Linked DNA regions of Kluyveromyces lactis. The protein of the gene in region 5 purifies or fractionates together with the protein of the main gene of each other region. This does not show direct contact. Links are inferred from orthologs where the notes say so. Each region holds a gene or a part of one and is shown on either strand. Other genes may lie near its edges.

What was found.
Region 1: the proteins of LSM3 (region 5) and PRP4 purify together in Saccharomyces cerevisiae (affinity purification with mass spectrometry, with the first as the bait; 4 studies listed by BioGRID). This does not show direct contact. The link is inferred for Kluyveromyces lactis from reciprocal best matches to the Saccharomyces cerevisiae genes LSM3 and PRP4.
Region 2: the proteins of LSM3 (region 5) and PRP6 purify together in Saccharomyces cerevisiae (affinity purification with mass spectrometry, with the first as the bait; 3 studies listed by BioGRID). This does not show direct contact. The link is inferred for Kluyveromyces lactis from reciprocal best matches to the Saccharomyces cerevisiae genes LSM3 and PRP6.
Region 3: the proteins of LSM3 (region 5) and PRP31 purify together in Saccharomyces cerevisiae (affinity purification with mass spectrometry, with the first as the bait; 3 studies listed by BioGRID). This does not show direct contact. The link is inferred for Kluyveromyces lactis from reciprocal best matches to the Saccharomyces cerevisiae genes LSM3 and PRP31.
Region 4: the proteins of LSM3 (region 5) and SNU66 purify together in Saccharomyces cerevisiae (affinity purification with mass spectrometry; 3 studies listed by BioGRID). This does not show direct contact. The link is inferred for Kluyveromyces lactis from reciprocal best matches to the Saccharomyces cerevisiae genes LSM3 and SNU66.
Region 6: the proteins of LSM3 (region 5) and PRP24 purify together in Saccharomyces cerevisiae (affinity purification with mass spectrometry; 6 studies listed by BioGRID, with this or other methods). This does not show direct contact. The link is inferred for Kluyveromyces lactis from reciprocal best matches to the Saccharomyces cerevisiae genes LSM3 and PRP24.
Region 7: the proteins of LSM3 (region 5) and PRP3 purify together in Saccharomyces cerevisiae (affinity purification with mass spectrometry, with the first as the bait; 4 studies listed by BioGRID). This does not show direct contact. The link is inferred for Kluyveromyces lactis from reciprocal best matches to the Saccharomyces cerevisiae genes LSM3 and PRP3.

The regions. Positions count from the first base shown.
Region 1 is NC_006041.1:426,298-430,420, forward strand, and holds PRP4 (U4/U6-U5 snRNP complex subunit PRP4), read left to right. Parts: upstream 1-1,980; coding exon 1,981-3,360; downstream 3,361-4,123. Other genes in the region: DPB2 (DNA polymerase epsilon noncatalytic subunit), read left to right, coding at 1-721; Rab geranylgeranyltransferase BET2, read right to left, coding at 799-1,773; HDA3 (Hda3p), read right to left, coding at 3,417-4,123. UniProt on the Saccharomyces cerevisiae protein: Involved in RNA splicing. Is required for the association of U4/U6 snRNP with U5 snRNP in an early step of spliceosome assembly.
Region 2 is NC_006042.1:395,622-400,588, reverse strand, and holds PRP6 (U4/U6-U5 snRNP complex subunit PRP6), read right to left. Parts: upstream 2,979-4,967; coding exon 321-2,978; downstream 1-320. Other genes in the region: PHO89 (Pho89p), read right to left, coding at 3,320-4,967. UniProt on the Saccharomyces cerevisiae protein: Participates in pre-mRNA splicing. Part of the U4/U5/U6 tri-snRNP complex, one of the building blocks of the spliceosome.
Region 3 is NC_006040.1:1,252,720-1,256,756, forward strand, and holds PRP31 (U4/U6-U5 snRNP complex subunit PRP31), read left to right. Parts: upstream 1-1,661; coding exon 1,662-3,065; downstream 3,066-4,037. Other genes in the region: DNA-directed RNA polymerase core subunit RPC40, read right to left, coding at 304-1,308; KLLA0_D14905g (serine/threonine-protein kinase), read left to right, coding at 3,346-4,037. UniProt on the Saccharomyces cerevisiae protein: Promotes the association of the U4/U6.U5 tri-snRNP particle with pre-spliceosomes to form the mature spliceosomal complex.
Region 4 is NC_006042.1:798,445-802,656, reverse strand, and holds SNU66 (U4/U6-U5 snRNP complex subunit SNU66), read left to right. Parts: upstream 1-1,393; coding exon 1,394-3,067; downstream 3,068-4,212. Other genes in the region: RNA-processing protein NOP58, read left to right, coding at 1-1,034; SLY41 (Sly41p), read left to right, coding at 3,506-4,212. UniProt on the Saccharomyces cerevisiae protein: Component of the U4/U6.U5 tri-snRNP particle, one of the building blocks of the spliceosome. Required for pre-mRNA splicing.
Region 5 is NC_006038.1:468,300-471,301, reverse strand, and holds LSM3 (U4/U6-U5 snRNP complex subunit LSM3), read right to left. Parts: upstream 1,374-3,002; coding exon 1,122-1,373; downstream 1-1,121. Other genes in the region: NTE1 (lysophospholipase), read left to right, coding at 1-837; MRPL4 (mitochondrial 54S ribosomal protein uL29m), read left to right, coding at 2,037-3,002. UniProt on the Saccharomyces cerevisiae protein: Component of LSm protein complexes, which are involved in RNA processing and may function in a chaperone-like manner. Component of the cytoplasmic LSM1-LSM7 complex which is involved in mRNA degradation by activating the decapping step.
Region 6 is NC_006041.1:966,654-970,640, forward strand, and holds PRP24 (U6 snRNP complex subunit PRP24), read left to right. Parts: upstream 1-2,020; coding exon 2,021-3,319; downstream 3,320-3,987. Other genes in the region: transcription factor MIG1, read left to right, coding at 152-1,576; NUP188 (Nup188p), read right to left, coding at 3,346-3,987. UniProt on the Saccharomyces cerevisiae protein: Functions as a recycling factor of the spliceosome, a machinery that forms on each precursor-messenger RNA (pre-mRNA) and catalyzes the removal of introns.
Region 7 is NC_006041.1:826,507-830,281, forward strand, and holds PRP3 (U4/U6-U5 snRNP complex subunit PRP3), read left to right. Parts: upstream 1-1,737; coding exon 1,738-3,012; downstream 3,013-3,775. Other genes in the region: TMA17 (Tma17p), read right to left, coding at 529-1,011; HSP10 (Hsp10p), read right to left, coding at 3,340-3,657.

The DNA.
Region 1 (4,123 bases), on a different chromosome or scaffold from region 5:
TGTGAGTGCAACCGTTTCGTATAAAAACAACTTCGATGCGTTGGCTACTCTCCTAAGCAATTACGAAAATTTGATCAACGATACACATATGATTTTTATTCCAGGTCCAAATGATCCGTGGACATCAATGGTTGGACTAGGTACTACTACTATGTGGCCCCAAAAAATAATTCCATCATCATTTACTCAAAAAATGAGTAGAATTTGTAGAAAAGTGCATTGGGGCTCTAACCCATTAAGAATTGCATATCTATCACAAGAGATTGTTCTGACACGCGATGATTTAGCAAATAGATTTAAAAGATACAATATTGTTTTCCCTACTGTGGAAGAGGAGAAATATCTGGAAAATGCAGAACTTCAAGAGCAATATTCAAGAAACCCGGATGTTTCAGTAGGCCAGTTAATCGCATTCAAGAATAATTTGCCTGTAAGTGTTTTAGAATCGAGGAAATTGGTGAAAACATTGCTCGATCAACAACATCTATCTCCGTTTTCATCAAGAATTCGACCAACTGTTTGGGATCTTGATTTCACATTGCAGCTATCACCGCTTCCATCGAGTATCATGCTGTGTGACACTAGCGCACCAGCTTTCGATGTAACGTACAACGGATGCAAAACGATCAACCCCGGTAGATTTATTCACAAAAGAGCTGCCAAATATATAGAATTCTTCCCTGCTTCTAAGGTTCTAGTAGAGGAAGAGCTACCATTTTAATTTATCAATATTAAACTACTTGTGGACCTACTTTTTGCGGTCGTTAGCATTCATAATTTATTTAAGTTTCTAAGACACTAATCTGAGTACTTGCGTTGGAAATATTTCGTCACCGTATATGGCATACAGTATACTGGATCAATATCTCTTAATCCTGGATACTTCATTATACTTAATCCTCCTAGACCAAAAACCGTGTGAAATACGTCGACTTCGTTGTCTGGTCTGTCACTAATCCCTCCATTTTTGGGATCCTGACAATGCAAAATGAACTCCGTTAGCTTGGGAAAATCAATCCAATCAGCTTTTTGGAGTATTGAAAGTGTTGATAATACCCACCAGCTATAGCATACATCGGGCAGTTTGCTTGGCCTACCATTTAAGCCCCCCTCTGGAACTTGTCTTTCTGAGAGCCAAACAGCAATATTCTCCTGCTGAGCTGGAGTTAAAGAGTCTAATTTTCCGACGATTGCTAAAGCAGCAATGCAAGTAAATGCCTGAGCAGCATGAGATTCTGCTTCAGGATTTAAGCCAAATCCGCCATCGAAATTGTAACATCTAAGGATATACGAAACTGCTGGTTCTACAACTTCTTTCGTCAATTTGTGTAAAATGGACAAACAGCTCAATGCAGTATATACGAAACGTGTGTCGACTTCACCAAAACTATCACCTTGGAATGAGCCGTCTGCTTTTTGATTGGATAGGATAAATTTTTCCAATTGTTCTTGCTTCTCTGAACCCAAGCGCTCTAAAGCGTTGTAAGTAGCCAAAATCTGAAGCCCTGAAAGAGTCGTTAATAGATGACCATCATGTCTTGGAAACGCAGCAAACCCACCAGTTTTATGATCCCAACAGCTTAGGACAAACTGTATTACATCCTCCTTATTGAATGTTTCGATAGAATCAAGGAGATAGAGGGCTGTCAATCCCCAGTATACCCCATTCAACCTTAGATGTTCTGAGAGCCAGTACTCTAGATCATCTTTCTTAGTATCTAAAGACGCAATATAATCAATGTGTTTATCTCTTAACAACTGCTGTTCACTCATGATCGTTCGATCGACGCCTAGCTTCAGACCCTTTTTACTCGATGGAGTACCTCACTTGTTTTCCAACTTTTGAACTATTCATATTCAGGAATAACGATAAAGTTCATTTTATGAATATGCTTTTAAAGAAGTGAGATGATAAAGAGATGAAATCAAAAAAGTGGCACCGGTAACAACTCACCTTTGGACTATCTGCAGTAACTTCTAATGGTAGAATTAGATGATTTGCAGGTAGATGTTGACTACAAAAACCAGGATGGGCAATCAGTCGGAGATGCTCTGAAAAGATTGGAATTCCAAAGGCAAGAAAGGCTCAAAATTGTGCCTACTCTAGATACAGACGTTAGACGAGCACTAGAGCTAGTGGGAGAGCCCGTTGATATCGCTGGCGAAGATAATTATTCTCGCAGAGATCGACTTTCTGATCTTATTCTTAGCGATCCAAAAGCCAGAGAACGAGTTACAAGGTTAGTAGAGTCAACTTCCAAAGACCAGACGAAAATCGATACTGAAAGAAGTAAAGTAGATGATGAAGACGAGGAGTTCTACACTCCAGCATCACAGCAGTTGATAGAAATGAGGAAGTTTCTTATAATATACTCTATGCAACGCTCTAAGCTGAGGCTTGAGGAGGAGAGACGAAGACTTGTCAGCCAAAATGTGAAAAACGTCATAAGTAAGCGAAGGGACCTGGAAAGTAAATTGAAACAGTTCTCTTTGAAGGGAATGCAGGTGATAGATGAGAAACCTATTTCTGAAATTAATACTTCTCCTGGTGGAGACCTGATGGCTTGTGGCAGTTGGTCCGGAAATTTGTCTCTGGTCGATAATTCGTTGTCCAAAATCTACTGCAATAGATCTTTATCTGGCACAAAGATTAGTGGATTGGATTGGAGCGTGGACTCTAAAAACATTTTTGTCTGTACCCATGATGGACGCATTGTAATATATGATAGTGGTGATGAAACCACAGTTAAGATCTTGTATAAAAATGATGCCAGGTTTGCCCAAGTACGATGCCATCCATGTAATAGTTTTATTGGAAGTACGTCTTTTGACAAAACATGGATCCTGATAGATACTGTGAAACAAGCCCCTATTTTGATTCAGGAAGGTCATTCTGCGGAGGTTTTCTCACTATCTTTTCACAATGATGGCTCATTGGTGAGTACAGCTGGTTTGGATGCAATTGCATTAATATGGGACATACGGTCCGGTAAAAATATCATGTCATTACAGGGACACTCAAAACCTATTTATTCCGTTGACTGGTCCCAAAATGGATATCAGCTTGCGTCTGGTAGTGGTGACGGGACTATAAAGGTTTGGGATATTAGGAAAAAGGGAAATGTGGAAACGATCTTAGCTCACAATAGCATTGTTTCACAAGTCAAATTCAATAAGCAAAACGGAGGATATTTAGTGTCGAGTGGATATGACAAGAAAGTAAATATCTTCAATGATGGGAACTGGATAAAGGAACGAAGCCTTGAAGGGCATCTTGATAAGGTTATGTCAATTGATATTGTAGGTCCTGATATATATAGCGCGGGTTGGGACCGCTCAGTTAACAAATGGGGAGTCTAATTAATTCTACGCAAATTTGTAAAAACGTTAATCATTATGGATGTTAAAATTACGTATCATTTCTTCGATCGGCCATTAGTCGCCTGTCTTCCTCTGCTGGGTTGAATTTTCGATAGTCTATCAGTTATATATCCAAGTTTAGAATGAAGCCCTCCAAGATTTTGCCCTTCCTGTTGTAGTTGTGATTTCAAGAGATCTATTCTCTGTTCAGCACTGGCAACCTTCTTTTTATTTTCGGCTACACTGTCCTCTATTTTCGTTTTCAAGAGCTTGATTTCTTCTCTTAATTTATCTTGTTCTTTGTTGCTTTCATCAACAGATTGAGCGGCTCTTTCTATCTCCTTTTGCATGTATGTTCTCTCAGAAGATTTAGACTCCGAATTTCGTTTTTCTCTCTCGCGGGCATCTTGCAAGTTTGAAATTTCTTCTAGTAAACCCTTCAAAACCTTATGTGGTTCGCTTTTAGACCCTAATTTTGTCATTAAATCATTAATTTCTGAATCTATGAATTCAATCTGTTTGTGCTTCTTTTCTGATTCCTCAAGGAAATCTTTTACCTTAACGTCATCATCTTTTAGCTTCTTTTCGGATTCTTCAAGCTTTTCCTTAATATCATTATAATCCTTATTGACCTTGTTGAAATGATGATTTTGAATAGATTCCATTCTTTCAAAATCATCTAATTCCAACTTTTGTCTCTGATTCATAGCGTAGATATTTTCAATGGACTGGATCATTTTATGAGTCAGGATATCAGTGGCTA
Region 2 (4,967 bases), on a different chromosome or scaffold from region 5:
GCTGCTATCGATGTTTTTCACTTCACCTCCGATCCCTGTCGACTACCAATACTCTTCGCAATTTCGAAGTTCCATTTTGGTTGTTCGTTTTCAAATTTTCAAATTCCACTGGAAAAAGTTCTCTTTGATAGATATAAGAGCTGACTCTTTCATAGCAGAGAATCAGATCACAACGGAAAAATACACAGAACTGCCGCATATACTGGGTTAGTTACGATTGAGGAACGGAACTTCTGACAATGCGGAAAGTCAATTTACAGTCGCATCAGTGTTGTCCCAATTTTTATTATTACAATCTTACAATCTTACATTCTATCTAATTATTGGTGTAAATTGTTGATAATGCTGTGCAAAATATCAATCGGAGAGTTTGATATGTGTAGGTATGAGTTTACTGCGGGCTCCCATAGTATACCGTACCTGGGTTCATTTTCTTTCAATTTCTTTAACGTTTTTTCTTCATTTATTTGCAAATCAACTGGATTCATGCACGACTCGCAGATGTAGAGCCATACCCATGGGTCCCCAAATTGAAGATTATTTTCCGAGGCTCTTATGAACCATTTATATGCCTTCGCGTATTGGTGTTCCTTTTGGAACACTTTTCCGATCTCAGTTATCACCATTGGATGCTCTTTTGTAGCTTCGAGAGCATCTTGGAATGTGGTTTTACGTAGTGATTTTTTAGGAAGGGTTCTGATGTTTAGACACCAGAGCCTCCAGCTGTGTGGACACGCTTTGAGACCCTGAGCGATGAGGTACGTTACTTGTTTGTTATCTTTCACTTGCAGTTCCAATGTAATGAGAGCCTCGTAGAGTGTATCGGATTTTGGATTCTTTAGTAGAGAAACGCTGAGTATTGAACGCGCTTTGCCCCAATCTTGTGTTTCCATTACCAGTCTGGAGAACTCCAAGCACACTTCTGGATCATGATTAGAAATATCCGTAGCCCTCTGTAGCACACGCTTCGCTGATGAAAGGTCCCTTTGTTGCCTGTATAGCTGTGCTTTCAAGATTAGTAAATGTTTGTCGTTTGGTTCACGTGCCAAAGCTATATCAACAGTAGAATGAGCTATTTCCAAACTGCCTTTAGATTGCAAACACTTAACGTAAAAAGGAACTAATTTATCAATGCATTCTACCAAGTGTGATTCGGCTTCTTCAAAGGAATTTATAATCTCATCCAATTTGCCATCTCTGTTCAAAATTTTGAGTTTAGCCAACCAAAACTCAGGATACGCCGAATTTGTCACCAGAGCTTTATCTAAAATCGACAACGCTTCAGTGGAACCAGAACCCCAATCCCAAACGTCTTTCGCATACATTAAAACCAAGACAGGGTATTTCTTTACCGCTTGAGAATCTGTAAAGAGGATCTTCCTGAATGTTTCGTGTAGCTCTAATTTCCGCGAAAAGTCTTCGGCGAAATTGGTGAACTCCTTCCAAATAGAGTACTTTGTTGGATATTTGATTAGGAAGGAGGAAAACAAGGTACACTGAAGTGTGGTGTCGTTTACCAACAGCTTCGAGAGACTTTGGAAATTTGAGGATGCGTCTTCAAATAAGTTATTGATGGTAGCTGTGATGATTGCTTTCGCTGTTAATGGATACAATCCTTCTGTTGATATAGCGACTGCATTTTCGAACCACTCAGTAATAGTTGGATTAACTTCCAGTTCATGAAGATCCTTTATTGCGCTAGAAATGATATTTACCAACGTATCGAGATTTGCGGTCGTTCTTTTTTCTTCGAGTTGACATTTGAGAAGCCAGTATGTGATGTCTTTTTTAATATGTTCTTCAGCAGATTTCAAGGTGTCCACTGCAGATTCGACTGATTGTAACCTTATCAACTTCAACCATAACTGCGAATCCTTCGGCACTAATTCAACTGCTTTCTTCAAAATTTTCAGCTTTTCAAGAGTGGAAGTTTCAAGATTTACCGCCACTTCCCATAATATAGAGCTTAGTGGTAGTTTAATTAGAGCCTTTCGAGTGACTTTAATTTTATCAGTATTGTGTTGTTCGAGGGCGATTGCCTTCAACCACAACTGCTCACTAAACTCGTTGAGCCTTAAGGCAACTGTAACCAACCTCTTGCAATATTCTTTATCGGATGCGTTCATGCGTATCGATTCTAACCAGATAGCTTCACTTTTAGGGCACAGTTTACAACCTTCCGCTAGCAAACTTTTGGCTCGATTGAACTGATTGGCTCTTTCTTCGATTCTTGCTGAAGAAATCCAGTTTTCTGGATTTCTTGGATGGGATTTACGATACGCGGCTAATAGGGATCTGTTTTTCCTAATGTCTTCCAAATCCGTAGATGAAATAGTGTTGTCATCTTGGTTCATTCTATTCAAGTATTCAGCATCATCCGTAAGTTGACTTTTGCTGTAATCAAAACTCTTATCTATCTGGACAGCAAGTAACTTTTCCCTCTCTTCAGTTAACTTGGATAAGTTGACATTAACCTGGAACAAAGTGTCAGGAGCAGCGAATGTTTTCCTTTCAAGTTGTTCCTCTATTCGATTCCTTTTGTTTCGTCTGGTCATATCAGATGCGTCAGGGATATCCAGCCAGTCTTGCTCAGAAAGAGTTGCTAAATTACGCTTCAAATCTACAAATTTAGAAGATAGCTTGTCTGGTTCATCATCTGGCTTCGTCTTTAGGCTTGTTTCATTGTCGATAATTTTTTTATTCTTAAGTCGCTGTTCGATCTTTTCGTACACTCTCATCTCTTGTTCGTCTTCATCTTTAACCTGTTTCTCCGATGATTCATTCGAAACTGCTGATCTGTATCTATTTGGATTCTTTGTTACAGAAGTATCTGGTGCATCTCGCCCATATCTATTCAATCTAGCAGGAACTCTTTTATCATCTTTACTTCCTCTGGTGGAAAAGCCAACCGCTCCACGACCTATACCAGCGATGTAACCAGGTGGTGGAGATTGTTTTAGGAAACTGGGAGTCTCCATGCCTATCACCGTGATAGTTGTTTACTCAGATGATTTACTAGTGAATAGTTTACTGTATGAGATGTCCTTTCGATACAAATTTTAAAGGTTTTGTTTTTAAAGATATTCTACAGATTCTTAAAACAATAGAGAATAAGCGTTGATAGAAATAAATATCGATTCTGCTTAGAAAGAATTAAATATGCAGGCTAATATATGAGGAAATTTGCAGAATCTATAATACCGAATATGTTCTATATTTGTAGCAGATAAACTATTATCTAGCTAGTGCACAAACAATTAATTAATGAAAGTTCCTAAAAGGCGCTGAGGCCATGAGAAAGAAAATATCAATCTGATGATTATGATAATTGGTAATCTCCACCGTAACGTGGTGCGTTCAAGATGATACCGTTCAAGATACCTGCAATGAGACCAGCCATTGGAAGAGTTAAGAACCAACCACTGTAACAGAAAGCGACCATTCTCCAGTTAACGGATTTCAAATCCCTGTTACAAAGACCAACGGCCACAATACCACCGACAGCAACTTGAGTAGTAGAAACAGGAATACTTAATTGTGTTGCCATAACAGTGGTAACAGCAGCACCAAGTTCAACGGAGAACCCTCTGGATGGAGATTGCAAAATCATCTTGTTACCCAAGTTCTTGATGATTCTGTAACCGTATGTCCAACAACCGAGGACCAATGCAGCGGCACAGTATGCTAAAACCCATGTGTGAACGTCAGACTTAGATTCCACAGTGTTTTTCTGCCAGATGTCATACACGGCAGCTAGTGGTGCAGTGGCGTTGGCAACATCATTGGCACCGTGAGCAAAAGACATAGTGGCGGCGGTAATAGCTTGCAAGATAGAATAGATGAATTCGATTCTGTTGTCATAGAAGGCAGATCTCTTGTACATGTCCTTGAAATCTGTTGACAAAGCACCTGTATCGTAGACCTGAGAATGAATAACATCTTGAGTCCAACCGTGAGAAGCAATCAACCAAAGTAATAGAGGCCACTTCTTTGGTCCTTGTTTTAGCAATGACCACCATAGCTGTTTGGTAGTTGGTTTTTCTTCTTGCAAAGTTTCTGTTTGCACCAATTTGATACTTTGGTTGACAGATTCCTTGTCGTTAATTTCAATATGTCCCTCTACAGTATCTCTTCCATCGGCGGTGTGGGAAGTTTCAATTTGGGTTTCATCATCTCCGGCAGTTTCATCTTCGAATCTTCTACCTTCGTAGTAATCAATGGTTAAAGATTGTCCAGCAGGTAGAGGTGGAATGTCGTCAGTGGACTTGAAGTAGAAAGTTGGGCCTCTGTAAATATCATACCATTTTAGGGTCCAGTCTCTGTGCAAGATTCTTCTTCTGTAGTATGGGTACAAGAAGATGAAGTAAACAGCACAAGCGACTAGACCAGTAAGAACAATAGCCAATGCGGTAGTTGTGCCAGACAATTTATCCAACTTCAAGTTTGGAGAACCCTTCCAAACGATCAACATAGTCAACACCGAGAAGGTAGCGAACACCAAAAATCCGACGAGTAGTAAAGCGTTCTTAATAGCTTTTTCAATTGGCTTAACATCCAAGACCAGGAACTTGGAGATCAAGAAAATAATAGTGACCAAGCAACCGGCTAAGATTGGAGCAATAAACCAAGAAGCAATAATTTGAGAAACACCACCCCAACCCCATTGGACACCCTTGGCACCACCGGCAGCAATACCGGCACCGATGGTACCACCAACGATAGAATGAGTCGATGACACTGGCATACCAATAGATGTCGCAATTGAAAGCCAAGTGGCAGAACCGACAAGAGCACATGCCATAGTTAACATTAACACAGCTGGATCATCTTCGAAAGGTGAAGCAGAAATAATATTGTTCTTGATGGTACCAGAGACTCTAGCACCCGCTAAGACAGCCCCCAAAAATTCACATAAAGCAGCAAGGATCATAGCCTGCCAGTATTTCAAGGATCTAGATGAAATAGAG
Region 3 (4,037 bases), on a different chromosome or scaffold from region 5:
AAAAGCCATGATCGAAAATCTTATAACCAAAGCACGGCCAATGGCGCAGGATCAGGAGACGTTTGAACCGACAAATGTAGATGCGATGGTGTAACACAGTTGAATCTAAAAACAAATGTACATTAAACTAGTTTAGATGTAGTGGCTTCTTTATATATGAATATATATAAGTGCCTAATCTGTTCACTGAGTGGCTTAATGCGTATGATACAGGGAATGAAAGAAATGGAATTATGATGCACGGTTTGTCTGTGTATGGAAGGGAGTGGATGATATTAAATAGAGAACATGCGAATTGGCTTCTTATTGTGAGATTGGACAGTTCTTCAAGTATTCCGCCTTGTTCTTCAAGATCCTGACCGATTTGAAGAAGATTTCTTCCGGTGTCATAGCACCAGAACTCTCCACGTTAAAGATGAAGTGGTCTCTCACCCTACCCAACTTAACCTTCCCCTGGAACTCATCGTGTCTCAACACCTCTCTGGACACGGTATCCTTCCTTGGATCCTTGATATAAGCTTCACCCTTCTCGTTGACATCTGCGACACCTTTAGGGAAACATTTCACAAATTTCTTGGCATCATCACCGGTGATAGGCTGTGTGATCTGGATGTGTGGTAATAGTCTATAACTAGCTGTCGACACCGGAGAGAACTTGGCATGGTCTGCACCGATACCTAGAATACAATGTGCCCTTAACGAAATCTCTTGACCTGGTCTCAACTTGGCCAACAAGATATCTGGATCCGCTGCCACCACGGGACACTTGGCAAATTGTTCCACCTGTTTCCCCTGAGGCTCAAACTTAAGGTCCCTAGCATAGATATGCGCGTTTCTATAAAGAACCTTGGGGTCTTCACAATCCTTTGGAGCATCTGGGTTCCTGGTACATTTCACGTTCAACGACATCACTATCGTATTTTCATCTGTAAACCTTTCAGATTCGGGCAATGACGTGTCCACCCAACTCAACATATCTGGATCCACCTTCAATGGCACTAACCCGATTCTATGCGCCAACACTTCGTCCTGTAGCACAGACGTATTGTTAAAAAAGTAGACGTATTCTGGAGCGACAGATGGTACTTCTGAGATCATAATACGACGGAAAGCGTTAGCAATCGATGTGTCGACATGAACCAAATCGAAATTCACTTCACGCTCATCCAAACTCTCGATTTGTACGTCAAAAGTTTCCTTGAACTTCTCCAAGTCCCATGAATTGTCTTGATCCGAACTAAATCCAGGGAAATCTGTTGAACTTGTGTTCGTCACACGGTTATATTCAACACCAACGATATTGGACATCCTTTTTCAATTGTATTGCTACGTTTATGCTACCTCTTGAGCTCTCAAACGACCTCAGAAAAGCCCTATGACACTGGTCAAGGTCCGTCTCATCGGTGTAGATACCTCATCTCAAGCTCATCTCATCGCTTTAAAGAACTGAAAAATTTTTGGAAAAGAAAAGATCACATCGTATAGAGTGATTATATATGATTAAAGATTGGTAGAAATGCGATGAGATAGCTACTCGAGAGCAGGTACTAGTCGATTACTGCTCTTTTGACCATCCTCAGTTAGTTCAGTATGTGGTATTTTACAGTTGGATTGTAACTGGATAACCATATTCCCCTGTCTTACTCTTTCACAAGGTGATAATGGACCTTTTAGATGACGAAGATTATGGAAGTGTCAGCGATGAGGAAAGCTTGGATGATGGGTTAAGTGGTGTAACCAGTGGTATAACCAGTGGTATAGCCACAGAATCGGATATTTTACCCTCTCCTAGTGTTAGCAACCTAATATCTGACTTTCACGCGCAATTCTGGCACCAAGGCGCGGATTTAGATGACCTCATCCAACTTGCCAAGCACGAAACTATAATACGAGATGCAACAAACCATACGACAGAGCCTTACAATGTCATAAAACTGGGCCAATTGATGCCTTTATTCGATACAGAGCTTTCCATGGTGTTTCAATGCATTGTAGATACCTACAAGGCCAAGTTCCCTGGGTTGGAAACTATTGTCCCTGAAAGGAAACAATACGTCGACGTGGTCAAGATGCTGCAACAGGATATTCCCAACGTGCAATTAGACCAAGTGCTATCGAAGGAGGAAACCCTTGTGGTATCTATGTCTCTAAAGACAGATTTCAAAGAGGGTGCTCGAATTGATAAGGATCTCCTCTCCAAGGCCATCCATTGGTTCGATATTCTGTACAACTTACGGGACAACGTCTCACACTATGTTGAGACAAGAATACAAATGGTAGCTCCAAACTTATGTGCTTTATTGGGACCTGATACTGCAGCTAAACTGGTAACACATTGTGGTAGTGTTAAAGAACTAAGTGTGGTTCCCAGTTGTAATTTGGCATCCATTGGCCAGGACAAAACGTTGCATGGCAAATCGTTAGATATCTCTGGGGTACGACAAAAGGGATATCTATTCTATACAGACGTGGTACAAACACAGCCTCCTGAGTTCCAGAAACAGGCGCTTAGAATGGTCTCTGCCAAGGTTGCTCTTGCTGCGAGAGCGGATTGCACCATGGGGAATCAAGTCATTAACCCAGATGGGAATTCAGATGGGAACTCAGATGCCTCGAAGCTGGGCTTGAAATGGAGGCATGAAATCGTTGAAAAACTCAAGAAGATAATAGATCCGCCGAATATCAGTAACATCAAGCCGTTGCCGATCCCAGAAGACGCTCCAAAGAAGAAAAGAGCTGGTAGAAGGTTCCGTAAGTACAAAGAACAGTTCAAGATGTCGCATCTAAGGCAAATGCAAAACAGAATGGAGTTCGGTAAAGAGGAACAGACCACCATGGACCCATACGGAGAAGAAATAGGGTTCGGGATGGCCGATTCAAAGAACGTTTCCGCATTGTCCTCTTTCAATAAGACCAAAATGCGTAAATCTATGCGTTTAAGATTAGATCAAGAGACTAAAAACACGCACAGTTTCCTACAGGATGAGAGGTCCGAAAAGCTCAAACGTAGTGCAGAGCACCCACAAGCTACGGACCCCGCCACCAGCAAACAACCACGGTTGTGAGACACCATAGTTCTGCCGTGTACCTTTTATACCCTGTATATGTCTATTCATAGATCTGTAATTACGATTCCTATTATGGCAAAACCAAAACACAAAAAGATGATCCAATGTTCGAATTGAAAACTTTAAACAAAGAACACAACTTAACCATTGAACTTTAGGGTCTCTTATTCGATCAGATCTGCCGATAATTCATTGTGTCAAGTCAGAAGTAACGTGTCTGACCTGAAGCACTAACGGTTTTATTTACATACTTCAATCACACAGTTTAAAATAAGAAATGTTTACAAGAGATGCGAATGGTCGTCACAAGGAGGTCGACGCATTGGTCGACGATATGGTCAATTTCAGTTTTGATACGGATGCTAAAGTTATGCTAGATCCCCCAAGCACTCCAACGAGAATACGTGGTTCTCCGTCTCCTACTAGATCGATAGTAAAAAACCCTGAAAACTCGCTCATGGATATCGACGATGATACTCAGGGAGATTTGACGGCAGACATTACCAAGTCGCCAAAGAAACTACCCAAAGATTTCTATAAGAAGTCCTCAAAGACTAAATCCAAGAGATTGGTTTCCGTGTGTCAGATGTATTTCTTGGATTATTATTGTGATATGTTCGACTATGTGATTAGCAGAAGAGAACGTACCAGACAAGTGATCAACTATTTGGAAGAGCAAAGAAGGTCGAACCTGATGGGTACTGAGCAAATTACCAACGAATGGCAGGGTTATCTGACGAAAGAGACGAATATTCTAAGGAAAAGACGTTTGAAACCGAAACATAAGGATTTCGAAATGATTACACAAGTTGGACAGGGTGGGTATGGACAAGTTTACCTTGCTAGAAAGAAGGATACCAAGGAGATCTGTGCGCTAAAGATCTTGAACAAGAAACTTTTGATGAAACTGGAAGGTACAGACCATGTTTTGACTGAAAGAGACATTTTAACTACGACAAGATCGGAGTG
Region 4 (4,212 bases), on a different chromosome or scaffold from region 5:
CTTTGCTAGACGATCTAGATAAAGAATTAAACACTTACGCTATGAGATGTAAGGAATGGTACGGTTGGCATTTCCCAGAATTGGCCAAGATTGTTACTGATTCTGTTGCTTACGCCAGAATAATCTTGACCATGGGTATTAGAGTTAATGCTGCTGAAACTGACATGTCTGAAATTTTGCCTGAAGAAATTGAAGAGAGAGTCAAGACCGCTGCCGAAGTCTCCATGGGTACTGAAATTACCCCAGTTGATTTGATTAATATCAAGTGTTTAGCCGAACAAATTGTTGAATTTGCTGCCTACAGAGAACAACTTTCTAACTATTTGTCTTCAAGAATGAAGGCTATTGCTCCAAATTTGACTCAATTAGTTGGTGAATTGGTTGGTGCTAGATTGATCGCACACTCTGGTTCTTTAATCTCTTTGGCCAAGTCTCCAGCTTCCACCATCCAAATCTTGGGTGCTGAAAAGGCTCTTTTCAGAGCATTGAAAACTAAGCATGACACTCCTAAATATGGTCTATTGTACCACGCTTCCTTGGTTGGCCAAGCATCTGGTAAGAACAAGGGTAAGATTGCCAGAGTTTTGGCTGCTAAGGCTGCCGTTTCTTTGCGTTACGATGCTTTGGCTGAAGATAGAGACGATTCTGGTGACATCGGTTTGGAATCCAGAGCTAAGGTAGAATCAAGATTGTCCCAATTAGAAGGCAGAGACTTGAGAACCACACCAAAGGTCGTCCGTGAGCACAAGAAGACTGAAATCACAGAGGCTAGAGCATACAACGCAGATGCTGACACCGTGTCTTCAGCTGCTGCTCCTGCTGACTCTGATGATGAATCCGAGGACGAGGAAGAAACCAAGGAAGAAAAGAAATCTAAGAAGGATAAGAAGGATAAGAAGAGAAAGAGAGACGATGATGAAGAGTCTAAGGAATCTAAGAAGTCTAAGAAGGAGAAGAAAGACAAGAAGGAAAAGAAGGAAAAGAAGGAAAAGAAAGAAAAAAAGGATAAGAAATCTAAGAAGGAAAAGAAATAGATATAGTATTCACATTAAAACCCCACTCTTTTGCATTAAATCTCTAATAACCTCGTATAAATCTGTTCCATTACATACGAACATACTATGTGTGTACCTCTGTAAATTAGTCTGTATCAAATTCAAACAAAATATAATAATTGAATTATTGTCATACGCTGTACTCTTCTTCTCATTGTCATCGTCAATGGCTTTGATAGTTACATCAAAATATTCACTGATGAAAATGTTGAAATATACAATTCTTAAATTCGGACAAGTTGGCGATGAGATGAGGCAGAAAGAAAGCAACAGGATTTGATAATAAGGATATTCGACCACAATACGAATTCTACGAGGCATACAGTTACTTCAAAGCCATGGGTAAGATTACTTCTATATCTTTGGAAGAAACAAATCGAATTAGGGCAAGTTTAGGTTTGAAGACTATACCTAGGCCCACTGAGACGTCAACAGAATCAAAAGAAGGTGCATCTGATACAAATAGGAAAGTACGAAGATCTAGTCAGCTAAGTTCACGTCCCTCCGAAAAGGATTGTGCTTCTGGAAAAATAAATGGAAGCGCTCAAGATCGTGATAAAAAGATTGGTCAACTAAAACAAAGAATATATGAATCAAAGGAAGCAGTGGACCAAAGAGCGACTACTGATAAAGAATCTATTGATGACTGGCTTTCCAAAATTGGGAAACCTATCACTCACAAAGAATCTTCTGCTGAAAATGCTACTGTACATGATGACATTACGCATCACCATATCCCAGTATCAGATGAACTGAAATCTATTGCTGAACAGAAAGCAGTCATTTTTACATTGAAAGAAACTTCAGTGACAAACGACGAAGAGAATATTGATGACGAAAACATATTAGAGAATGAGAAGCTAGTTCATGATAAACAGGATGCCAAAAATCTTAAGCTACGGCAATTGAATAAAGATAGAAAACTAAACAAAATCTCCATCTTTGATTACAGCGATGAGGCTAATGATACAAACTCAAGATCTGACATACCATTACACGACTCCTTAGTAAATGATAAACCATTACCTGTTCACCAGTCTCTCCCTAAGAGGGTCAAAATTGAAAGTGACTCAGATGATGAGCAACCATATCAAGATTACGCACCAGTCAAGATTAAAAGGCGAAAGAAGAAATCAAATCAAAACCAGAAACCGAGAAGAATAGACACAGCGAGAATGGTGAAAGTTGATCTTTTGGAAGATGATGAGGATTTCTCAGACCGGCCAATTCAGGCAGTTGTCAAAGTCAAACAGAAACGCAGTAATGAGGAAATAACAGGGATAAAGAATTCATTGGAGTTGGAAAAACTCGAAGGACAGCAAAGAAGCAAAGGAATTCATATGTTGAACAATAGTGATAAAGGAATTCTTCTGGATGAAACCGATGAATTTTTGGATTCTTTGAAGGCGAACGTTCTTGACAGAGAACCTGTTAATGATGATTTGCCCATAAAAATCGATTTGAAACCAGTGCAAAAAGATAAAACGGGAACTATTCCAGCAACATTAGTCACCGATAACGATATCACGCAACCTGATTTCTCAGGAGGTGTGGCAGGAATGTTGAACTTCTTGAAGGAACGAAATATAATTAAGCAAGACGATCGCCCCAATATGGGAAGCGACAGTAAAAAACACGGAACGGATGTCAGGAAAGAGTTTGAGATCTTAAACGGCATTGTGAATTCCCTTAAGACTGTTGACGAAAAGTTGGACTCCAATGATGTAAACTTTTCTGAGGACGAATTGCGTAAGATTAAAGCTGCGCAAGCGGAAGAAATGGCATTGAAAATTCAACGTATACAAGAGGAAAAACTAAGAGACTACAACCCAACGGTCGAACTCGCATATCAGGATTCCGAGGGTAATGAGTTGAAAACTAAAGAGGCCTATAAACAACTTTCTCAAGCATGGCATGGGACAAAATCCAGTAAGAAGACTTTGGAAAGACAACGGAAGAAAATGGCGGACAGAAAGAAACAATTGGAAAGAGACTCATACTTGGGACTATAGAACCTTACATATCACACTTATTCAAAGTAATTAGAGTTAAAACCTATGGCATTTTGAATTGACGCTTCCTAGAAAATTGTCTTGCTCTGCCCACAGCAATCACGAGCTAGCACCATTCTGCAGAGAACCCTTTGTGCTTGGCTTTCCACGTGACTGCCAAAAAACGTTAACAACGTCAGCAAGCAAAAACATCACATCGGTCAGAAAGAAAGAAAAAAGACTGGAAATATATAATATAATAACATGGCATCAATTTTTGGCGACTTGTAATAGAAAGAGATACTTCTTACATAGTGACAGTCGGCTCTAAAATCGCTGCTCGCTCCATAAAGTAACAGTTCTTTTCGATCTATTCTATCGTTTGCTAAATTATTCTCATTCAACTTCGTTCCACTCGCTTTATTGATTTTAAGAAGGTGTGAATAAAATAAGCGAAAAATGATTGTAACTTCCAAGAGCGTCACTTCGAAGCGCCGTCCTTCGATCAATAAAACATTTTCAGATGTTAACTTTGTCAACCAGGTACAAATACCGTTCCAGGAAAATTACAGGTCTCATAAACATTCAACTTCGTTCAATGAGGTCAGAAGACTGCAAAATCAGACGTGGAAAGAGCAATTTGTCAATCTATTTCCCAAGGATGTACAAGAGTATTTACCGGAAGTGAATGTTCACATATCTATTTTATGCCTTATATGGTATATGACTTCTTCTGTTTCATCAAACCTGTCAAAAGCCATTTTATCCCGATTTCCACATCCTGTTGGTTTAACGGAATTGCAGTTCCTTCTAAGCGCATCGCTATGTCTCGCGTTTGTAACGTTTGCTAACTATTTGCATGCACCACAGGTATCTTCATCAAAATTGAAGAATACAGTTCTAAACTTCCCGGAAGGAATTCTACCCACTTATTTGAATGGATCATTTTCGAGATGCATATTAAACACTTTCCTGGTACCATCTAAAGTCATATGGTATACAACTTTCCCAATGGGTATTTTCCAATTTGTAGGGCATATTACCTCTCATAAATCCACATCTTTGATTCCAGTTTCCTTGGTGCATTCTGTTAAAGCTTTATCTCCAATCGCGACCGTGTGCTATTATAGATTCGCAAAAGGAAGACAATATAACAATATGACTTA
Region 5 (3,002 bases):
GATATAATCGGAGGAACGTCAATTGGTTCGTTCGTTGGAGGTTTATATGCCATGGACTACGATCTTGTTCCTATATATGGCCGAGTCAAGAAGTTCGCTGGTAGAGTTGGTTCACTATGGAGAATGCTAAGTGATTTGACTTGGCCAGTTACATCATACACTACAGGACATGAGTTTAATCGTGGTATATGGAAATCTTTTAGAGACTACAGGATTGAAGATTTTTGGATTTCATATTACTGTAACTCGACGAATATTACAGAGTCAGTTCAAGAGATTCACTCATCAGGTTTTGCATGGCGTTATATTAGAGCTTCTATGTCACTTGCGGGCCTTCTTCCTCCAATTGTGGATAACGGTAATATGTTACTAGATGGAGGTTATGTCGACAACTTACCAGTGACCGAAATGACACAGAGAGGTTGTAAAATTGTGTTTGCAGTAGACGTTGGATCAGTCGATGATAGGACTCCAATGTCATACGGAGACTCTTTGAACGGATTTTGGATTGTTTTAAATAGATGGAATCCATTTTCGAAACACCCCAACATTCCTAATATGGCGGAAATACAAATGAGATTAGGATATGTTGCTTCTGTCAATGCCTTAGAAAGGGCTAAAAGTACACCAGGTGTGGTGTACATCAGGCCTCCTATTGAGAACTATGCGACTTTGGATTTTGGTAAGTTTGAAGAAATATACCAAGTAGGCTACGCGTACGGTCATGACTTTTTACAACATCTGCAAGAGAAAAACGAATTACCGCCAATTGCGGGTACCACAACTTCTGCTTATGCCGACAAAGAAAACATGTTACAAAGACGGAACAGTATATAAAACGAATTAACAGGAAACGCTACCCACATTTGTCGATGGTGGACATGCAGGACATAAAATCAAAGCCATGGCAATTAACGTTATAGTTTCTAAGTAACTGTAAACCGAAAGTTAAAAAAAAATTGAATAAACTAAATATATACTATACAAATGTTAGCGATGGATGTATATTGGGGGCAAAATGAGGATAGCTCACATCGCACTCAATCAATAATGAGGACATGAAGTTATTTCTTCGAATTTCCCTTATTAAATGTTGAAAGAAGAAGAAGGATACTGGACAATCATTCATCTTCTGGTGTTGTTACAAGGGCCACAAGACCACCTCTAACGAAAATCATTTCCGAAAACCTTTCGGTCGTTTTCAAATCTCCTTCTACTAGTTCATAAATGGTTTCCTTTGAATCTGAAAGAACAATATTACAATGTGAGTCGAAAGCCTGAAGAGTACCCACTAATTCACGAGCATCACGTAATTTCACATATACTCGCTCGTCTAAATTCAATTTTAATAGATCCAGAGGCGTATCAGACATCTTTGCGGCGTAAAGTGTGTATGTCTTCTATATTTATGATGCAGTCGTATTCTTACAATAACCAATAATGCAATTGATAGAGGGTACAGCAGTTAGGTTGAATGGTTTCCTTTGTCAGTTTATCAAATGGAGTACCAGGTATAGTAGAGTAGTCGATATACAATCCAAGGCTTAGTTCCATTCACACTCCAGAGCATCCTCCATAACATACTTAATCACCAAATTATTGTTAACGTACTAATTGATAAAAAGTGTTGAAGTTTTGAATTTCGATGTCAATGGAAAGCTCTGAATTATAGAATAATCAGTTAAACCAGGGAAGGTACACGTTTCCAACCATCTTTGAATGATACTGTACCTGTTGAAAGATGGCCAGGATATGCGATGCTAGTTTATCATCTTATTGCACTATGCTTCACTAAGAGAGTCAATAGTCAACCTGATATTCACGTGACTATCACATGACAAAGGCCGGGCAACCTAATGACGGACCCCGAATCAACTCTGTTCGATCAAAAAATTTTTATAACATTTAAGCAGAGGAAAGCTGAATAGGAATTAAAACATGGATGAATCAGCTAGCTGTCGTGATATTGAAGTGTTCTACCTCGATTGAGTAGCTGCAGGACGTGTTTATTATAGCAGGGATATTATATTTTCAAAATGTTCCCAGCAAGAAGGGGATTGCATACTACTTCTAGAGCATGTGCCAGGACGAGATTCACCAAACCTAAACCCAAACCAGCCAAGAGAGAGAACGTTAGACTACCTACCCAGAGGACCCATCACGATAATGATTTAAAGATTACAGCTCCTATTCCACCGGCTGCTGCCAATTTGACATGTCCAGATGATCATCCTTTATGGCAATTTTTCTCCGAGAAGAAGTTTTTAAGAACGCCCGAGGAATTGGATACGCTTTCGAGACCTTGGACCATCCCAGAGTTGAGAAGAAAATCGTTCACTGACCTACATTCTTTGTGGTACACATGTTTGAAAGAACGTAACGTATTAGCACGTGAAAACCATTTGGTGCAGTTCAACTTTGAAGCACAAACCGAAGCATACCAAGATATCTCCGAAAAGATCAGAACGACAATGTGGAGAATAAGACACGTCCTTAGCGAACGAGACTGGGCATTCAAGATAGCGAATGAGAAATTTGCTGTTGAAAAACAAGTATTTATCGAATCATTCGAAAAAGACTTTTTAGAAGCTCCTGCTAACGAAGATGAAGAGATTTTCGAATCATTGCAACGTTTTCAATATGCCATATACGGTATCTCTGAGTACATCGATGAGAACAAAGTGGACAGAACATTTGTGGATGGATTGAAAGCGGTTGCAACATTGAAGTTAAAGAAATTTGCACTAAGAAACGAGGACATCAAGAACTTTTTAGAAGAATCTAACAATACAATTGTGGATGCAGGTGAATCCTTCCTTCTGTATACATCAGAAAACACAGAATCTGCCATCGCAGAAGCATGTCAAGCGGTAAGGGAGTTGAGAGAAAATGGCTCCTCTGTGTCTAGATACGATGAATTGGAAACTGTTCAAGAATATGTTAATAAATTAGCTGAGGCTCAAATGGCAAAGGTAACAGAAGCGGAAATACAGCTGCAAGAA
Region 6 (3,987 bases), on a different chromosome or scaffold from region 5:
AAACCTATCATTTCAGCTTATACTTCCGTTTGTTTGACCATATCACGGGTCTTTCTGCTGTAATACTTCAAGGCAAGCTTCCATATTATTTTGGTTTTTGGTCTTGTTATTTGGTGACTGATACGAAAGGAATCTGGAACTTATAGCACCAATGACAGAGGCGATTATAGAGAAAAAAAATCATAAGAAGTCTATCAATGATCATGACAAGGATGGACCAAGGCCTTACGTCTGTCCCATATGTCAAAGGGGATTCCATCGACTGGAACATCAGACTAGGCACATCAGAACACACACTGGGGAAAGACCGCATGCATGTGATTTCCCGGGATGTTCAAAACGCTTTAGTAGAAGCGATGAACTAACAAGACATAGAAGGATACATGACAGTGATAAACCAAAGGGGAAAAGAGGAAGGAAAAAGAAGAGTGAGACGATAGCTCGTGAAAAGGAATTAGAATTGCAGCGGCAAAAACAACGAAACGCAAACGACTCTGCGGCTGTTGATTCTGCTGGTGGAACGAGCGCTAATGTCATAGAACCAAACCACAAACTTCTGAAATCCACTAATTCGATTAAACAAGATGGTTCAACATTTACTGAACCTCTGAAATCGTTGAGGTCGAAGCCAATGTTTGATCTCGGTAGCGATGAATCGGATGAATGCGGTATATATAGTGTCCCACCTATTAGATCTCAGAATAATAGTGGTAACATAGACCTTCTGCTGAATGCTGCAAAATTTGAGTCTGACAAAGCCTCATCCTCTTTCAAATTTATTGATAAACTACCGTTGACTTCATCTTCATCCTCTCCGTCACTTTCGTTTACATCTCATTCAATCAACAACAGCAGTAGCGGACTATTGTTACCAAGACCAGCTTCACGTGCTAAGCTTTCTGCTTTATCATCATTACAAAGAATGACACCCTTGTCTCAAAATTCAGAGTCATATAATCATTCGCAACAGAATCTAGTACATCTTCACCATCCCGCACCCAACCGACCATTGACCGAGTTTGTTGATAACGAGTATATAAGTAACGGTCTGCCTAGAACCAGATCGTGGACAAATCTGTCGGAACAGCAATCACCATCGGGCTTCAGCTCCTCTGCACTTAACTCCAGATTCTCGTCATCCAATAGTCTCAACCAACTGATAGATCAACATTCAAGAAATTCAAGTACTGTAAGCATATCTACTCTACTGAAGCAAGAAACCGTAATCTCACAAGATGAGGATATGAGTACAGAAGATGCATATGGCCGGCCACTTAAGAAATCAAAAGCCATAATGCCCATCATGAGACCTAGTTCTACAATGCCACCAAGTTCCGGCTCAGCTACAGAAGGAGAATTTTATGATGAACTTCATTCAAGGCTTAGATCGATGGATCAACTGCCGGTAAGGAACAGTAAGGACGAAAAAGATTACTATTTCCAAAGTCATTTTTCAAGTTTACTGTGCACTCCAACGCACAGTCCTCCACCGGAAGGATTGTTACCCAGTTTGAATCAGAATAAGCCAGTGCAGTTGCCATCACTTCGAAGCTTAGACCTTTTACCACCAAAATAATGACTACTAATGAAAATGGACAGAAATGTAAGCGCACCGTCTCTTCATCGATCAATGTATTATATTAACTCAAGATATAAAACTTTCACGCATAATGAATATAGAATTTTACTAGCTCTTGTCCATCAATTATATATCATTTCATCTTAGCATTCTATTGACAATAACCATCCAAAATAGACTTTGTAAAGTTTTCAGAGAACCTGAAGCTTGCGATCACCGAAGATATTCTGTGTTCAGGATACTGGTTGTCATGCTCGTCTGAGGAAAAACATCTTTCCATGAAGATATCACGTGATATGTTTGATATTCAAAGTTTTTAAAGGCTTTAAACTGCAATAGTATCAATCAATTTAAAGGTTGCGTGATAGGAGCTGATGCAACCTTAGTAGCAGGTCGAACCAGTTGATTTTATGAACTGACCTAATCGCACGTGGTACACTTATGAATGCAGAAAACAATAAGAGACGCCCAGAAGACGAAAATGTCTCTGTAGAGGAGGCTGCTACCTTGAAAAAAGTTAAGAATTTACATACGCATAACCGCGAATATACCACTGTTTTAGTTAAGAACTTGCCTCCAAATTATAATCATCATAAGGTTAGAAGATATTTCAAAACTTGTGGTTCGATATTACAAATAGATGTTACAGATTCAACAGATGGGGATTCAAAATTGGCAAGGATTGAATTTAGTTCCTATGATCAAGCCCTAACAGCAGTGAGCAGGACTTTGAAAAAGATTGGCTTCCATCAGATAACTGTCGAACAGCTAACAGATTCTACGATTTGGGTCACCAATTTTCCACCTGGGTATGATGCCAGCAAGCTTCGAAATTTACTATCGCAGTACATTGATTCACCAATTTTGAGTATTAGATTGCCGTCCTTAGCGTTCAATTCAAGAAGAAGATTTGCATATGTTGATTTAGTTTCTCCAGAAGTGGCAAAGAAAGCTACAAATAGGCTCAATGGGATAGAGATCAACAATTATAAATTAGTAGCGAAAATATCGAATGTCAACGAACGAACTGAAAGGACTGACAATGCCATATCGGATGGTAGAGAGATAATAGTTAAGAACCTTCCAGATGATATTACCATCGATGATTTGATAAAGATGTTCAATGAGTTTGGTGATACAGAAAAAGCTAGAATAGTAACTGGTGATGAAACAAACCCTGGACGACATTCCAGATATGCGTTCATAACATTCAAAAACAAAGCGAGTGCAGATAATGCTTTGTCATTAAATGGAGCGGTAATGAACGGTAAGCCATTACACGTTTCAAAAGTTATGAGAAAGGCTTATCTAGAAAGACAAGAGGTGAAGCGTCTGCTTGCTTCCAGAAAAGAAAACCCAAAAGTTGTCGGAATATACCCATTGTCTGATCAGATTACCCCAGATCAAATTCTTGCTTTCATTACGGAGAAAGCTCAAATTAGACCTCCGGATATTACGAAGGTTTTGCTGGTCTCTGATCATGAAGGTGCTTTAATAATAGCGGACAAAGAAGCAATTACCGCAAAAGTTTCACTTGCAATCAATGGATACAAGTTCAAGAACCGAATTTTGAAATGTGTTTCTGCTCATGAACTTTCCCTTCATTATCCCAATGAACACAAAACAACCTTGAATCAACCAAAGCACGCTGTTGTAAAGGAAATTAAATCACAGCAAGCGTCACAAAATGACAAAAAGTTGAGCAATGATGACTTCAGAAAATTATTTCTATCTAAATAATATTAATACTATATAAACCTACCTGTTTATAAATCTGACATCAAGGATGATTGAAGTTCTGAGATTTGCTTGGTGATAGAATGTAGAAGCTGATTTCTATAGACCTCATCTTCCATCATCTTTTGTTTGTCTGGGGTTGTCGCGATGATCCGAGAATTCATATACTTTGGGTGAGTTAACAAATGTTTCAATACATTTGCCAAATCGTTTCTCTCAGAGCTAGTGTCTAAACCAGGGAACAACTCTATTATCTCTTCTTCGTCAATGACCTTCAATTTGGAACCATTAACAGACAAATAACGCTGATATTCAAGTTTATCTAGCATTTTCTGCAAAAGAATTATCTGGGAAGTCTCCTGGATATATGCTTGAGTTATGGACAGTGAGTCAGACGACCAGCCCCCCACAGCAAGATCTATTTGTTTGGAGAAATATGAAACAAATAGACACACTTCCGAAAGTATTCCAGATCCGAATTTACTTAATAGTTGAAGAATAATCGATATGATGCCATTGGACCATATGTTATGCAATCTTGGTGATAATTCTGGGCGAGCCCCAGATTGTTGAATTGACACCGAAATCGGACTTTCCAAGAACACAGAGAAGAGCCCGTTATCTATAATCTTTTGTGCAACTTCTTCAATTGTGACAAGCTCAGAAATGAA
Region 7 (3,775 bases), on a different chromosome or scaffold from region 5:
AGAATTGTTTCGATTTGAATTGAACCTGATGCTTTATAGATGGAGACCAATCATTAACCCAGGCAGTTCCCACTTTTCCAACCGAATAATTGCTGTCAAAACGACTCTCTGTATGTTTTTCTCCAAAAGTGTTCTTAACATTTTCATGCCATGGCACAGTATATATGTCGATCATATCAAAATGAAATGAAATGTTAACGTGAACCTGATAGACTTTTTTCGCATCGACGTTTACAGATGGAAGAAAATGAATGCCACAGAGAACGGCCCAGCCTGCTGGAAACAGAAAAAGCTAAATGTTAAGAATGGTCTGTAGCAGATTCATTCCAGGGTTTTTCCCAGCAGATTACCAGCCCGAAACTAAGAGAAAGAAACCAGAACGGGTGCGTTTATTCATCTCTGAAAGTATACAGTTTTCCGAGGTCATACCAGCCCACACTTTTAAACATGCATTTTTGCTTTCATTCATTTTTTTTTTACTATACTTCAATATATGAGTACATTATATATATTTTGTTTGGAATGGGTTCATAAGTTAATGCTATTGGAACCAGTGGCATCAGCAGTATTATCTGAATCCACGCCAACGGTTCTCCGGCCTTGAGATTGCAAAGATCTTTTTAATTTTGTGGACGCCGATTGGATGTCACCGGAAGATACAGTGCTAGCCCTGTGCTGTTCTTCTAGGTCCAAAGCTTGTAGCCTTTCGTTATAATTATCCAATACTTTTCCATTTTCCGCTAATGAGTCTTGGAATACTTGCAAATCCTTCTCATCAATATCATCATCGGAAAAATTCCCTTCCGCGTCCAATTCTTGTCTGTTCAATACCTCTTCACCCTTAAGCTTGGCAACGTACGCTTCTAACCTTCTGTTAGATCTTTGTAAATGCTTCACTGCATTATTGATCTCTTTTCTGATCTCTTGTAATTCATGCTCAGACGATTCTCTAATAGCAATCACGAACTCTTGAATCTGAATTGGTCTACGAATACCAGAAGAATGTGCCATATTTCTATGTTAAGTCTATCCTTAGCTATGTATGTTTTTTCACTTTTTAGTCTTGTTTCGGTTGGAAAGTACGAGATGAATTAAGATCGGTATCCTTAACTATATATTCAAGCTAGCCTTTTATAACAATAATTTAAGCCAGAGTTTATTCTCTTACTATTTATACCCAACGGTAAGATATCACGCCCCACATATGACACCCACCCCTCCGAGGCACCATCATTGCAAATCAGAGTGTATGATGCGCACGTTACTATGCTGACTTTTTCCAGCTCCAAAGCAACACTACTTGTTAAAAATCACATCAGCTTTTCTGCTTTCCTTTCTCCTGGGCTGGATTTCCCCGCCTAAGTCCTTCTCTGGGAACTGAACTTTGTCCCTTTCAGCAAAGAGTTGAGAAACTCACGAGGAACACAAAAACAACGAGAATTAGGGGCCGCTTATGTAATTCTTTTCATCCCATAAAACAGAAAAATTGTGCTGTTTTGGCTTCCACCCATACACTACGCACAATCAGGGGTTGGTGCAATTTCGGATATATTACCCGGGCATGGTGAATTTCATCATAGGCGTTACAGAGTGAAGATGTGATTCAGATTCTATATGAGAGAGAGTTCATTGCGATGCTAGAGAAGAGATGGACAAAAGACAAATGGTGATGTGTAATAGTAACTACGGATTGTCTGGAATAATCGGCCCTTTGTACAAAAATCATATCATCATATAATGGGCAATGATAATAATACTAATAGAGGGTTAAATCGGAAATTGCATTCTGCATTGAGTGTTGAGAATGTCAATTTATTGAGATTTCAAGGTAGACGTTGTGGAAACCCATACTTGCAAGACGTACAGGCTCATGGTTTTGAGCCAAAGGCAAGAGTATCGTCTCATTGGTATGAACCGGGAGAGGTTGTCCAGCATGCTGCAAAATTAAGACAAGAGAACCGTGAAAAGTCTGAAGAAGAAAGAATACGATGGGAAGCTGAACTGGAGAAACAGCAGGAAATCGAACGGAAAATAGAAATAGGGGAACTACCTGATAAGCATGAAGAAGTTTATTTTACCGATTTATCGGACGTTCCTGATGTGGAATGGTGGGATGTTCCATATATCAAAGATGGTAGCATCCATGAGAAATATAGTTTGGATTATTCCACATTGAATTCGGACGATGAAAGTGATGATGAAGAGGAAGAGGAAGAGGAAGGTGCACAAGATAAATTCCCAAGTATTAGGTATATTCAACATCCGGTACCGATTGAAAGGCCTAGGGCAGCTGTTCCAGTGGCAGAGATTTTCTTAACGAAAAACGAACGGAAAAAGGCCAGAAGGAATACGAGGAAGTTGGTACGACAGGAGAAGGAGGAGAAAATCAAGCTTGGTATAGAACCAAAACCAGAGCCCAAGGTTAAATTATCGAATATGATGAATGTGTATGAGAATGATGCCAATATTGCGGATCCAACTCAATGGGAATCCATCGTACGGAGACAAGTGGCAGAGAGGAAAAGGAAACATTTCGAAGAAAATGAAATAAGGCATCAAGAAAGCCTGAAACGAAGGAAGGAATCCCAGTTACAAGCACACAGCAATGATAGTCCTCTAGAATACACGTGTGTTGTTTACATGTTTGACGAAATACAGAATCCTAGTATCAGATACAAAATCAAAACCAACGGTAAGCAATTGAAGTTGAAAGGATGCTGTCTACACATTCAAAATGGCAAAGGTATAATTGTAGCTTTTGGAGATGAAAAATCTATCCGCTTTTTCGATAAGTTGGTGACAAAGCGAATCAATTGGTCGGAACCATACAAAGATAGAGATACCGAAGAGACAGTACCTTGCGACGGTAAAATTACAAAGGTTTGGCAAGGATTAATTGGTGATTGTAGATTCAAGGGCTGGTTCATGCTCGATTGTAAAGATAAAAACCAGTTAAATAATATCTTAGAGCAGCACGATGCATTGACTTTTGTACCATTAGGTAAGTTTTAACAAACAATTACGTACTGAAAATGAAATCCAAGTTCGAAATCATCAAAATTTTGGAATAAAAGTAATAGTGTATGTTAAAAAAAATAAAACCGGAGTAAATCCAACGACCTACTTAGAACATTTATTTACATGGGGTGAGTAGGCAGTCCAAGTGACGCACAATGGTCAACATTATTGAGTTTTATCACTACCAACATCAAAAAAAAGTCATATTTATATAAATAATATCTCCCTTCGTCTCTCAAAATTCAATCATCAATAACAGAGAAAGATACTGGCTCATAACATCGTTCTTTAAATTTAATTCTGGTGTAACGTTCGAGACCTTTATTCGACGACCTTGGCCAAGATTTCAGAGTCTCTGAATAAAACGACTTCATCATCCTTGCCCAACTTGATTGTGGATCCACCGAATTGTGGGATCAAAACTTGGTCACCTGGTTGGACAGATGGTGTAATCTTGTTACCGTTGGAATCGGTGAAACCTGGACCAGCAGCCAACACAGTAGCTTGGTTTAATTTCTCAACGTTCTTTTCTGGCAAGTATAAACCAGAAGCAGTCTTGGCTTCGGCCTTGATTCTTTGCACCAGAACACGGTCCAACAATGGAACAATAGATTTAGCAGACTTCAATAGAGTGGACATTTTGACCTATTATTATAGTGATTACTTCTTAGGGGAAGAATATCAATCGAGGAGGATCAAGGATCTTGTACAAACGCTGACTTTGATATAATCTTGGCACTCTATTGTTGAAAAAATG